Linked DNA regions of Arabidopsis thaliana. The protein of the gene in region 1 interacts with the protein of each later gene in a pairwise test. Each region holds a gene or a part of one and is shown in the gene's direction. Other genes may lie near its edges.

What was found. Proteins that work in one complex are often made in the same cells at the same time.
Region 2: the proteins of SCL3 (region 1) and AT3G52155 interact in binary tests that used the Arabidopsis thaliana proteins (3 or more experiments, as listed by UniProt).

The regions. Positions count from the first base shown.
Region 1 is NC_003070.9:18,677,186-18,682,093, reverse strand, and holds SCL3 (scarecrow-like 3), read left to right. Parts: upstream 1-1,793; 5' UTR 1,794-2,090; intron 2,091-2,331; 5' UTR 2,332-2,468; coding exon 2,469-3,917; 3' UTR 3,918-4,400; downstream 4,401-4,908. Other genes in the region: AT1G50410 (SNF2 domain-containing protein / helicase domain-containing protein / zinc finger protein-like protein), read right to left, coding at 4,729-4,833. UniProt on the Arabidopsis thaliana protein: Probable transcription factor involved in plant development.
Region 2 is NC_003074.8:19,341,669-19,346,041, forward strand, and holds AT3G52155 (Phosphoglycerate mutase family protein), read left to right. Parts: upstream 1-2,026; 5' UTR 2,027-2,071; coding exon 2,072-2,255; intron 2,256-2,288; exon of another isoform or gene 2,289-2,305; coding exon of another isoform or gene 2,306-2,342; coding exon 2,343-2,442; intron 2,443-2,518; coding exon 2,519-2,698; intron 2,699-2,775; coding exon 2,776-2,893; coding exon of another isoform or gene 2,894-2,902; exon of another isoform or gene 2,903-2,979; coding exon 2,980-3,050; coding exon of another isoform or gene 3,051-3,054; exon of another isoform or gene 3,055-3,400; coding exon of another isoform or gene 3,401-3,541; coding exon 3,542-3,545; downstream 3,546-4,373. Other genes in the region: PSRP2 (RNA-binding (RRM/RBD/RNP motifs) family protein), read left to right, coding at 406-723, 812-913, 993-1,295, 1,384-1,422; KCS15 (3-ketoacyl-CoA synthase 15), read right to left, coding at 3,401-3,862, 3,948-4,373.

The DNA.
Region 1 (4,908 bases):
AAAAATGCAAATTGATGCGATAGACATTCTTTTGCTGATTTGTATGCTATAGGTTTTCAAATCTCTAGCTACACTTATGTATTTCCCTAGATTATCAAAGTTAGCCTGCCGTTTTCTAATTTTATTATTTGATATTTTGATTATACTGCTTCTTAATGCATCAAATAAGTTGATTCATCCATCTAATATTTTAACTACATCAAATGAAGTCTTTTATAAGTACAGGCACTAATTGAACTTGAACCCTATAAAATACATGAATAATCACAAAGAATTGATAGTGTTCTTTCAGTTTTTCAATCACAAAGAACTCACCGACATTATCAAGTTGACTTCACTTTTAGACTTAATTGGTGTTCTGGAGGATCCACAAAACTACTATTACACAGTTTTCACAAAATTGTGATTCTTTATTTTTTATTTTCTTTGGTCAAACTAACATTTCATTCAACTTTAAACGAGAGTTGCCTCCACGTGGAGAGTATACACAAAAAGCTACGAGGACAAATGCTCAAACAAAAAGACATAAGAAGGGGAGCTCAGAAGCTCAACCCGAGTAGCAGCATCCAAAGTTGCTAAAACAGAACCATCATTTACTTCTGAGGCGGTCTTCGTACCAAGCTCCTTCAGCAAAATTGTGATTCTATGTTTGGATATCATGAGATCTAACTACAAAGTTTTTAATAACAAAAACTTACCATTCTCTAATTTGTAGTCAAAGCTAAACAAATTTCATACTAAAACAATTTTACTGTGTTGTTATGGATGCATATTTTTCTCACTTTATAGTACTATTTTACTATTGATAAGATGAAAAAAAAGTTGAGGTACAATAGTAGTAAAATAGCATCATTCTTTTTCTGTAGAATCTCTCTGGTCAATGGTCTTTTTAGTTTAAAAACTGAATAATGTTCTCTCTCACACAGTAAAAAACAAAGAGAGAGAGAAAGAAGAGAAGAAGACAAAAATGTAGGCATTAAAAAGAAGAAAAAGACAAAGAGAAAAGTAATGAAAAGACAATGAACATTTAAAGAAGACAGACAAATCCCACACCCAAGCCTCAGCCTCATCTCTTTTATTGTTATTTGTTTTTCTAACAAAACAACAAAAACAAAAGAGATGGTTTTTGGGTTTTGTTTTGTCTTTGTTAGGGCGTGTTTGGACGTTTCCTTCTTCTCAGAATCAATATTTTACCAAAACAGCTTTCTTTTTTTCTCTTTAACAATTTTTTTGATGTAGAAATATATAGTCATGATTCCAAATCCACCTCATGCCATGACAAAAACCCATAAAAGTGGAGGTTCCAATCTCGAATACAGACATATATGTTGTATTCGTGTATGTATCTATTATAAGATAATTCCAATTTGTATAATGCCAAATGGGTTCATTGAACTTCTTCTTCCTTCATAATTAAGTGTTGCTTTTTCTTCTTAGTTCCTCTAAATCAAGAAAATTCTAGGTGAAACTTCTCTTATCTTGACTTTATATAAAATAATAACTATAAAAATAATCAATAAGACTAATTCCTACAAGTCTTACAAATTTAAAAGAAAATGAAAATGCAACATTAGCTAATACACATAATAGTATAAGATTGATGGATGTATTCTTATTCAGTTTTATTTATAAATGCAACATAAGCTAATACACTCTCATTCAGTTTTATTTATTAATGTTACACCACTTTAAGAGCACTCAAAATCAAAATACGTATTCTTATATGATATTCATTCATGTAGTACTAGTACACATAATAGTATAAGATAGATGGATGGGATTGGAAAATTTGACAACCTTTTGTTTAATAATTCCTTAAAACCAAGGAAAGAAGAAAGAGGAAACGAAAAAAACAAAAAGGAAGAAGACAAAACCGACTATCACGCATTGTCTGGTACGTAGAGCCAAAAGGAACAATGCCTCTGTTTTAGTGTTTTCTTTCTTAAAGTTTTTTCCCAAAACACAAACAACATTTCACACACACGCTATTACTCACAAGATAACCACCAGAGACGTGGATAGAGAGATAAAGATTGAGAGAACCCTCTCACTCCCAAAAAAAAAGCTTTAGACATTTTCTCTAAATCCATGTAAGTTTTTTTCTTTGGTTATTGTTGTTTGTTATCTTCTTTGATCATTTGCTATTATTTTGTTTTGTTTCTTTCTTAGTTTATCAAATTAGGAAAGTTTTAATTCAGCTCTCTGTTTGTGTTTCTTCGTCTATATCTATTTCAAATAGTTTAACTAGATTCAAAGGTTTTTAAAATTCAGTACTTTCTCTGCAAACCCTAGTTCCTCTGTTCTTTAACCCCCTTTTTTGTTAAACTGCAGATTCTCTGCATCTTTCAAGAAATTCCGAATCGTGGGTTTGGTTCTTCTCGTTACGAGTCTCTCAAAGTTTAAATCTTTCTTTACAAAAAAGGTTACTTTTGGTTCTGAGTAAATCAAAATCAAGCTTTTGGCCTTCAATGGTGGCTATGTTTCAAGAAGATAATGGAACATCTTCTGTAGCTTCATCACCACTTCAAGTCTTCTCAACTATGTCACTCAACAGACCGACTCTCCTCGCTTCTTCATCTCCGTTTCATTGTCTCAAAGATCTCAAACCAGAGGAGCGTGGTCTCTACTTAATCCACCTCTTGCTAACTTGTGCCAACCACGTGGCTTCAGGTAGCCTCCAAAACGCTAACGCAGCGCTCGAGCAGCTCTCTCACCTCGCTTCTCCTGACGGCGACACGATGCAGCGAATCGCTGCTTACTTCACCGAAGCGCTTGCTAACAGAATCCTTAAGTCCTGGCCTGGTCTTTACAAGGCTCTTAACGCAACTCAGACAAGAACTAACAATGTCTCTGAGGAGATTCATGTTAGAAGACTCTTCTTTGAGATGTTCCCGATACTCAAAGTCTCTTACTTGCTCACTAATCGAGCTATACTCGAGGCTATGGAAGGAGAGAAGATGGTTCATGTGATTGATCTCGATGCTTCTGAGCCAGCTCAATGGCTTGCTTTGCTTCAAGCTTTTAACTCTAGGCCTGAAGGTCCACCTCATTTGAGAATCACTGGTGTTCATCACCAGAAGGAAGTGCTTGAACAAATGGCTCATAGACTCATTGAGGAAGCAGAGAAACTCGATATCCCGTTTCAGTTTAATCCCGTTGTGAGTAGGTTAGACTGTTTAAATGTAGAACAGTTGCGGGTTAAAACAGGAGAGGCCTTAGCCGTTAGCTCGGTTCTTCAATTGCATACCTTCTTGGCCTCTGATGATGATCTCATGAGAAAGAACTGCGCTTTACGGTTTCAGAACAACCCTAGTGGAGTTGACTTGCAGAGAGTTCTAATGATGAGCCATGGCTCTGCAGCTGAGGCACGTGAGAATGATATGAGTAACAACAATGGGTATAGCCCTAGCGGTGACTCGGCCTCATCTTTGCCTTTACCAAGTTCAGGAAGGACTGATAGCTTCCTCAATGCTATTTGGGGTTTGTCTCCAAAGGTCATGGTGGTCACTGAGCAAGACTCAGACCACAACGGCTCCACACTAATGGAGAGGCTATTAGAATCACTTTACACCTACGCAGCATTGTTTGATTGCTTGGAAACAAAAGTTCCAAGAACGTCTCAAGATAGGATCAAAGTGGAGAAGATGCTCTTCGGGGAGGAGATCAAGAACATCATATCCTGCGAGGGATTTGAGAGAAGAGAAAGACACGAGAAGCTTGAGAAATGGAGCCAGAGGATCGATTTGGCTGGTTTTGGGAATGTTCCTCTTAGCTATTATGCGATGTTGCAGGCTAGGAGATTGCTTCAAGGGTGCGGTTTTGATGGGTATAGAATCAAGGAAGAGAGCGGGTGCGCAGTAATTTGCTGGCAAGATCGACCTCTATACTCGGTATCAGCTTGGAGATGCAGGAAGTGAATGATATATTACAGTTTGTCTTCTATTTTGGTTATGAGCAGAGTCCCTTTCTTTTTTGTATACATGGGGACACAATCTTAGTTGTTTTGTGATGGTGACTTTCTGTCTCTTTATGCTATTTTGGCTTAAATGCTTCTACTGCCTCTGCATGTAAAGCCTTTGTGTGTTGGTTCAATTTGGTCTGGTGTGGGTGTAATACCAAACCAAATCCAATTTGAGCTGAAGATAACTAATTTGATGATCGGTTCAAGTTCAGAACTCCAAATTCTTTCAGAGACCAGCCAAACTTTGCCTATCTTTAAGCAGGTGATCTTGTCATTTGTGTATTGTAAATAACTTAAACTCGGTATATATATTTAGGTTACTAAAGGACATGTTCACTATCCAAAGAGTATACGACTTATCTGCTGTCCAAATACTTTGTAACCTAAAGTTCACGTGCTTCATTTACATTGAATCTAGTTTAACCTAATCTTCTTGCTTCATTTATATTTGAATTTTGTTTAAGCAATCTAGTCTTTATCTTGTCTTAGCAAATTCACAGAGTGTTTCTCATGCAAAAGTGTTGCATGATCAAAACACCTTGATAATAAGATTGAAAGAGTAATGTGATCCCAAAAGGAAAGAAGATCTCGGATGAACTGATTCAGAAAAAGTATATACTCTGATGTTATATATACTATGAGACAACAGCTAAGTTATTTACATATTTCCTCATTTCAAATCTGTGAACCTGAAGAACACAAGAATGCAGCTCATGATCAAAATTCTGAAAGAAGCGAAACTTCGCCAACCCAAGATTTAAGAACAGCTACACCATGAATAGATATTTGAGATCATCAACTGTTAATCGAGTTGCAGAGCTTCCACCATGATCTTCACCAAAGGCAGACGCAACCATTTTTCTTTTCTCTTCCTATAATAATAACCAAAAATCACACAACCACAAATGAGAGAAACTGAGGGGGGAAACAAGTATCAGCTATAAGGG
Region 2 (4,373 bases), on another chromosome or scaffold:
GTCTCTAGAGTCTAGACTTTAGAGGGACACTAGATTGAACTCGACTAACAACGAAGAATCATGGAGTGGATACATCAATTTCGATCAACCATTAATGATCATCACATACTTCATTTATGTTCATCTTCCATCAATGATGAAGATGAACAGTGGCCTGTAGTGATGTTGTCACTGGCCAAAACAGTGGTCAGGCGTAACCCGAACAAGTACCTAAGTGTATATCAACCCATTTAAGTTTAAGTCTGCGGCGTGAGAGACGGGTAAATGGGTAATGTTTCTAGGCCCAAATTATAGGCCTTAATAAGGCCCAATTATCCACACAGGTTAGAAGTGAGGACGGCTAATGGATAATGTTGACGACACTCGCAACTTCTTCCTTATCGACACCTACACTCTCCTGCTACAATGGCGACTTTCCTAACAAATGTTGTTTCAATCAAACCTACAATCTTCTCATTCCAGTCCGAATCCTTCACTCCTTTGCATACACGGGTCAATGTATTCTCCTCGAAACCCTTTCCTTCTCTCGCTGGAACTTTCTCCCGGAGCTCTAGAACGAGATTCATTCCTTATGCTGTAACGGAGACGGAAGAAAAACCCGCCGCTTTGGACCCTAGTTCAGAAGCTGCCAGGCGTGTGTATATCGGTAACATACCCAGGACGGTGACCAATGAGCAGCTCACTAAACTTGTTGAAGAACACGGTGCTGTTGAAAAAGTTCAGGTTTTTATTCATAACATCTCCTTCTTCTATTATTTCTTAGTTAGTTATCATCAAGATTTGTTATTTGATGTTGTGTTGATATCATCAGGTGATGTATGATAAGTATTCAGGAAGAAGCCGTCGATTTGGGTTTGCTACAATGAAATCAGTTGAAGATGCTAATGCTGTGGTTGAGAAATTGAATGGCAATGTAAGTTTTTGAACCCTTAACTGCTTCGTTCTATACATTTTAGTTCTGAATATGACAGAGCTTGTTTTTGGTTTCTCAGACCGTTGAAGGGCGTGAGATAAAGGTTAACATTACAGAGAAACCTATAGCATCATCACCTGATTTATCAGTTCTTCAGTCTGAGGATTCAGCATTTGTAGATAGCCCTTACAAAGTGTATGTTGGGAATCTAGCAAAGACTGTTACAAAAGAGATGCTTGAGAATTTGTTTTCTGAGAAAGGGAAAGTAGTAAGTGCTAAGGTTTCAAGAGTACCTGGAACTTCCAAATCCACCGGGTTTGGATTCGTTACGTTTTCTTCTGAAGAAGATGTGGAAGCAGCCATTGTTGCTCTTAACAATTCGGTAAGTATCTCTCAACTGTTCCATCTTCTTCGACTATAGAGTGTGCATAATCTTTTTGTCTCATTTTGTTGTTGGTTTTAAAATGCAGTTGCTGGAAGGACAGAAGATTCGGGTGAATAAGGCTTAGCCTATTGGATCATAAAGAATGTGAAAAGAATCGCTTTGAAGAGTTTTTGTAATGCAAATCATTAGAGCTTAGTGTATCATCTTGTATTCATTCTAAGTTGAAAATGAAACCATATCTTTTCAAAAGCTTATAGTTGTGGTAATCTTGTTTCTAGGCAGTGTAAACAGAGAACTCCAATGACATGAACAAGTCATGCTACATCCAATTCAGAGGTAGGGATGATAATGAAGATCCCCAAGCTAAATTTATCTCCACCAAGTTTCCTTTCCATAAATGTATCATACAATGTAAAATTGCTACTTGTGTGACTTGTGAGCTTTGGTCACTCAAAATTTCTTAATTTAGTGTCTACTTCTGTAGCTCTTCTGTTGCTTGTTATGTTGTAAGTTGATTGCAAATTTGCAACGGTCCTTGTTCGATGAGGAAGAACCAGAGCTTCGAGAAGCACTTGATTCTCATTGGACTTTCGTTGGCAAACTGATCAAAATCTCGACCAACGGTTCCTCAGAGGTCTCAAGTTCAAAACTTTTTCTCTCTGGGTCCTTACTTCTACCTTGGAACAACTGAGTACCGATCTTATCTTTAAATTTCACGGCGAAGGATTAGAAATAAAGAAATTACCTTTCTTTAACTAAAAATCAAGCCAGAGATGCTTAGCTTGCAGTGTCTTCCTCCTTTCTTCATCTCCGTCCCAAATCGGAGCACCAATTCTTGCTCCACGGCTCCACTTCGTGCGGTCAGTGACTTCGCTGCTTCTCCGTCGACCTCAATCTCTCGCCGTCTTATCCTTCTCCGTCACGCTCACAGTTCCTGGGATGATCTTTCCCTCAGAGGTACTCTGATTCTCCTCTTTCTCGCTCAAAATCGAAAAATCAAATCTTTAATGTCTCTCTTTCTCTCTGTCTGTGTCTTAACGATAGACCATGATCGTCCTCTAAGTAAAACCGGAGAAGCAGATGCTGCCAAAGTAGCTCAAATCCTCTCCTCACTCGGTTGGCTTCCCCAACTTATTCTCTCAAGGTAAGTTCCTTCTTCAAATTATCAGTTTTGTTTTTCATTTCGTGATTGAGAATTGTTGAAATCATTCACTTCACAGCGACGCCACTCGGACTAGAGAGACACTGAAGTCGATGCAGGCTCAAGTAGATGGGTTTATGGAGGCAAATGTACATTTCATTCCTAGCTTTTACTCCATTGCTGCTATGGATGGCCAAACAGCCGAGCATCTTCAAAACATTATCTCCAAATATTCAACCCCTGATATCTCCACTATCATGTTAGTTTCTCATCAATCTTTTTTGCTTCATCTTACTTGTGCTGTGTTATCATTTCTTATTTGATTGATACATATAGGTGTATGGGGCATAATAAGGGTTGGGAAGAAGCAGCTTCCATGCTCTCTGGAGCTTCTATTAAGTTGAAAACATGCAATGCTGCTTTGCTTCAGGCTTTTGGCAACTCCTGGGAAGAAGTTTGTTGATTCAATCCTTTTTTCAGATATGCATGAGCTCGCTTTTTCTTTGATTTGGAGCTAATTCTTTCTTTTGGCCATCACAGGCTTTTGCGCTGTCCGGGCCTGGTGGATGGAAACTTGAGGGTCTAGTGGCTCCAGATAGTAGCATCTTTGTGTAAGAGAATGGAACATTACAAAGCTTCAATTTTTAGCTTTTTCCATGGTTGCAACTTTTGCTCCTACAGTATGTCATTCTTCAACTTCATGTCTGTTGCATAATATATATAAAAAGGTTGCAACGTCTCATCCTTATGTGCATAATTAAGCTCAGTTTTTAGCTACTGAAACAGATGAGTAAATCAAGAGTAGATTGCGTCTCTTTATTGTTTGTTTACCTTATTAATGTAAGATCCTAGCATCAGGGATATGTTCAAATGCAATCACACTATTTGAATAAATTGTGGATTTTGCATTGGTGGGTTATTTTATTCATGTTATCATACAATTGTTAACTTTGATGAATCCTCAGAGATTCCATGGGTTGTTATGTCTTGGAGGGTCAATGTTTTTTAGGGCTTTCCATACAACACTATTGCATTTAAACCCTGACCCGAAACCGATTTGCCAAACCCTATCTCCTCTTTTCATCTTCGCCTTGTGTTCTAGGTAAGCCAGCTCGTACCATATACTGCTGCTTGATGTGTTCCCGAAACGCTCCAATGTCCGTCTTGATGCCTCCATATTCTCTTCTGTCAACTTGAGATCCTTATGAATGTCATCAAGTACTTTCTTACTCGATGCTAATACGCATATATGTTCAAAGGAAGGCTCAAGACGACCAAGCGTTGCAATGTTTGCTTTCAGTGCATGGCGCCCAACTTCCATTACATCTCTAGATACATATAGTCCTTGTTTCCCATCTCTGTCTTCTCTTAACTCTATGCTCTTGTAACTTGTGTCTTCCATGCCTTTATGGGTTCTTACTAGCTGTTTTATTCACCAGTTACAATGTCATCAGTCAAAACAAAGAACAGAGCAAGAGTAAATCAGAGTGTTTCTTTGTTCTTCTCACCTGCATAAGTTGGTATTTGGCTCGCCATCTGTCGATACGCCGACTAGATAGCATAACTGCAGCTGCTCCCATTCGAAAGAAGCAATTTGGTGGAAGCAACGCGACGTCATTACCTGAGTACCAAGTGAAGCTTACTATCTCAGTGCTCACCACCAAAGCGTAAGAGCCTTGATGAGCGTTTAAAAGATCTTTGGCTAAATCAATGGCTATGACTCCGGCGCTACACCCCATACCACCAAGATTGTAGCTCTCTGTGTTATGCCTCAGCTTATAATGGTTAATCACCATGGCCGATAGAGATGGCGTGGTGTTGAGGACTCCGCAGTTTAGCACCAGGATCTTGATATGCTTCACATTGATTTTGGTCGCTGCAAGAAGTTCATCAATTGCTCCAAAGATCACCATTGCTGCTTCTTCACGACCATC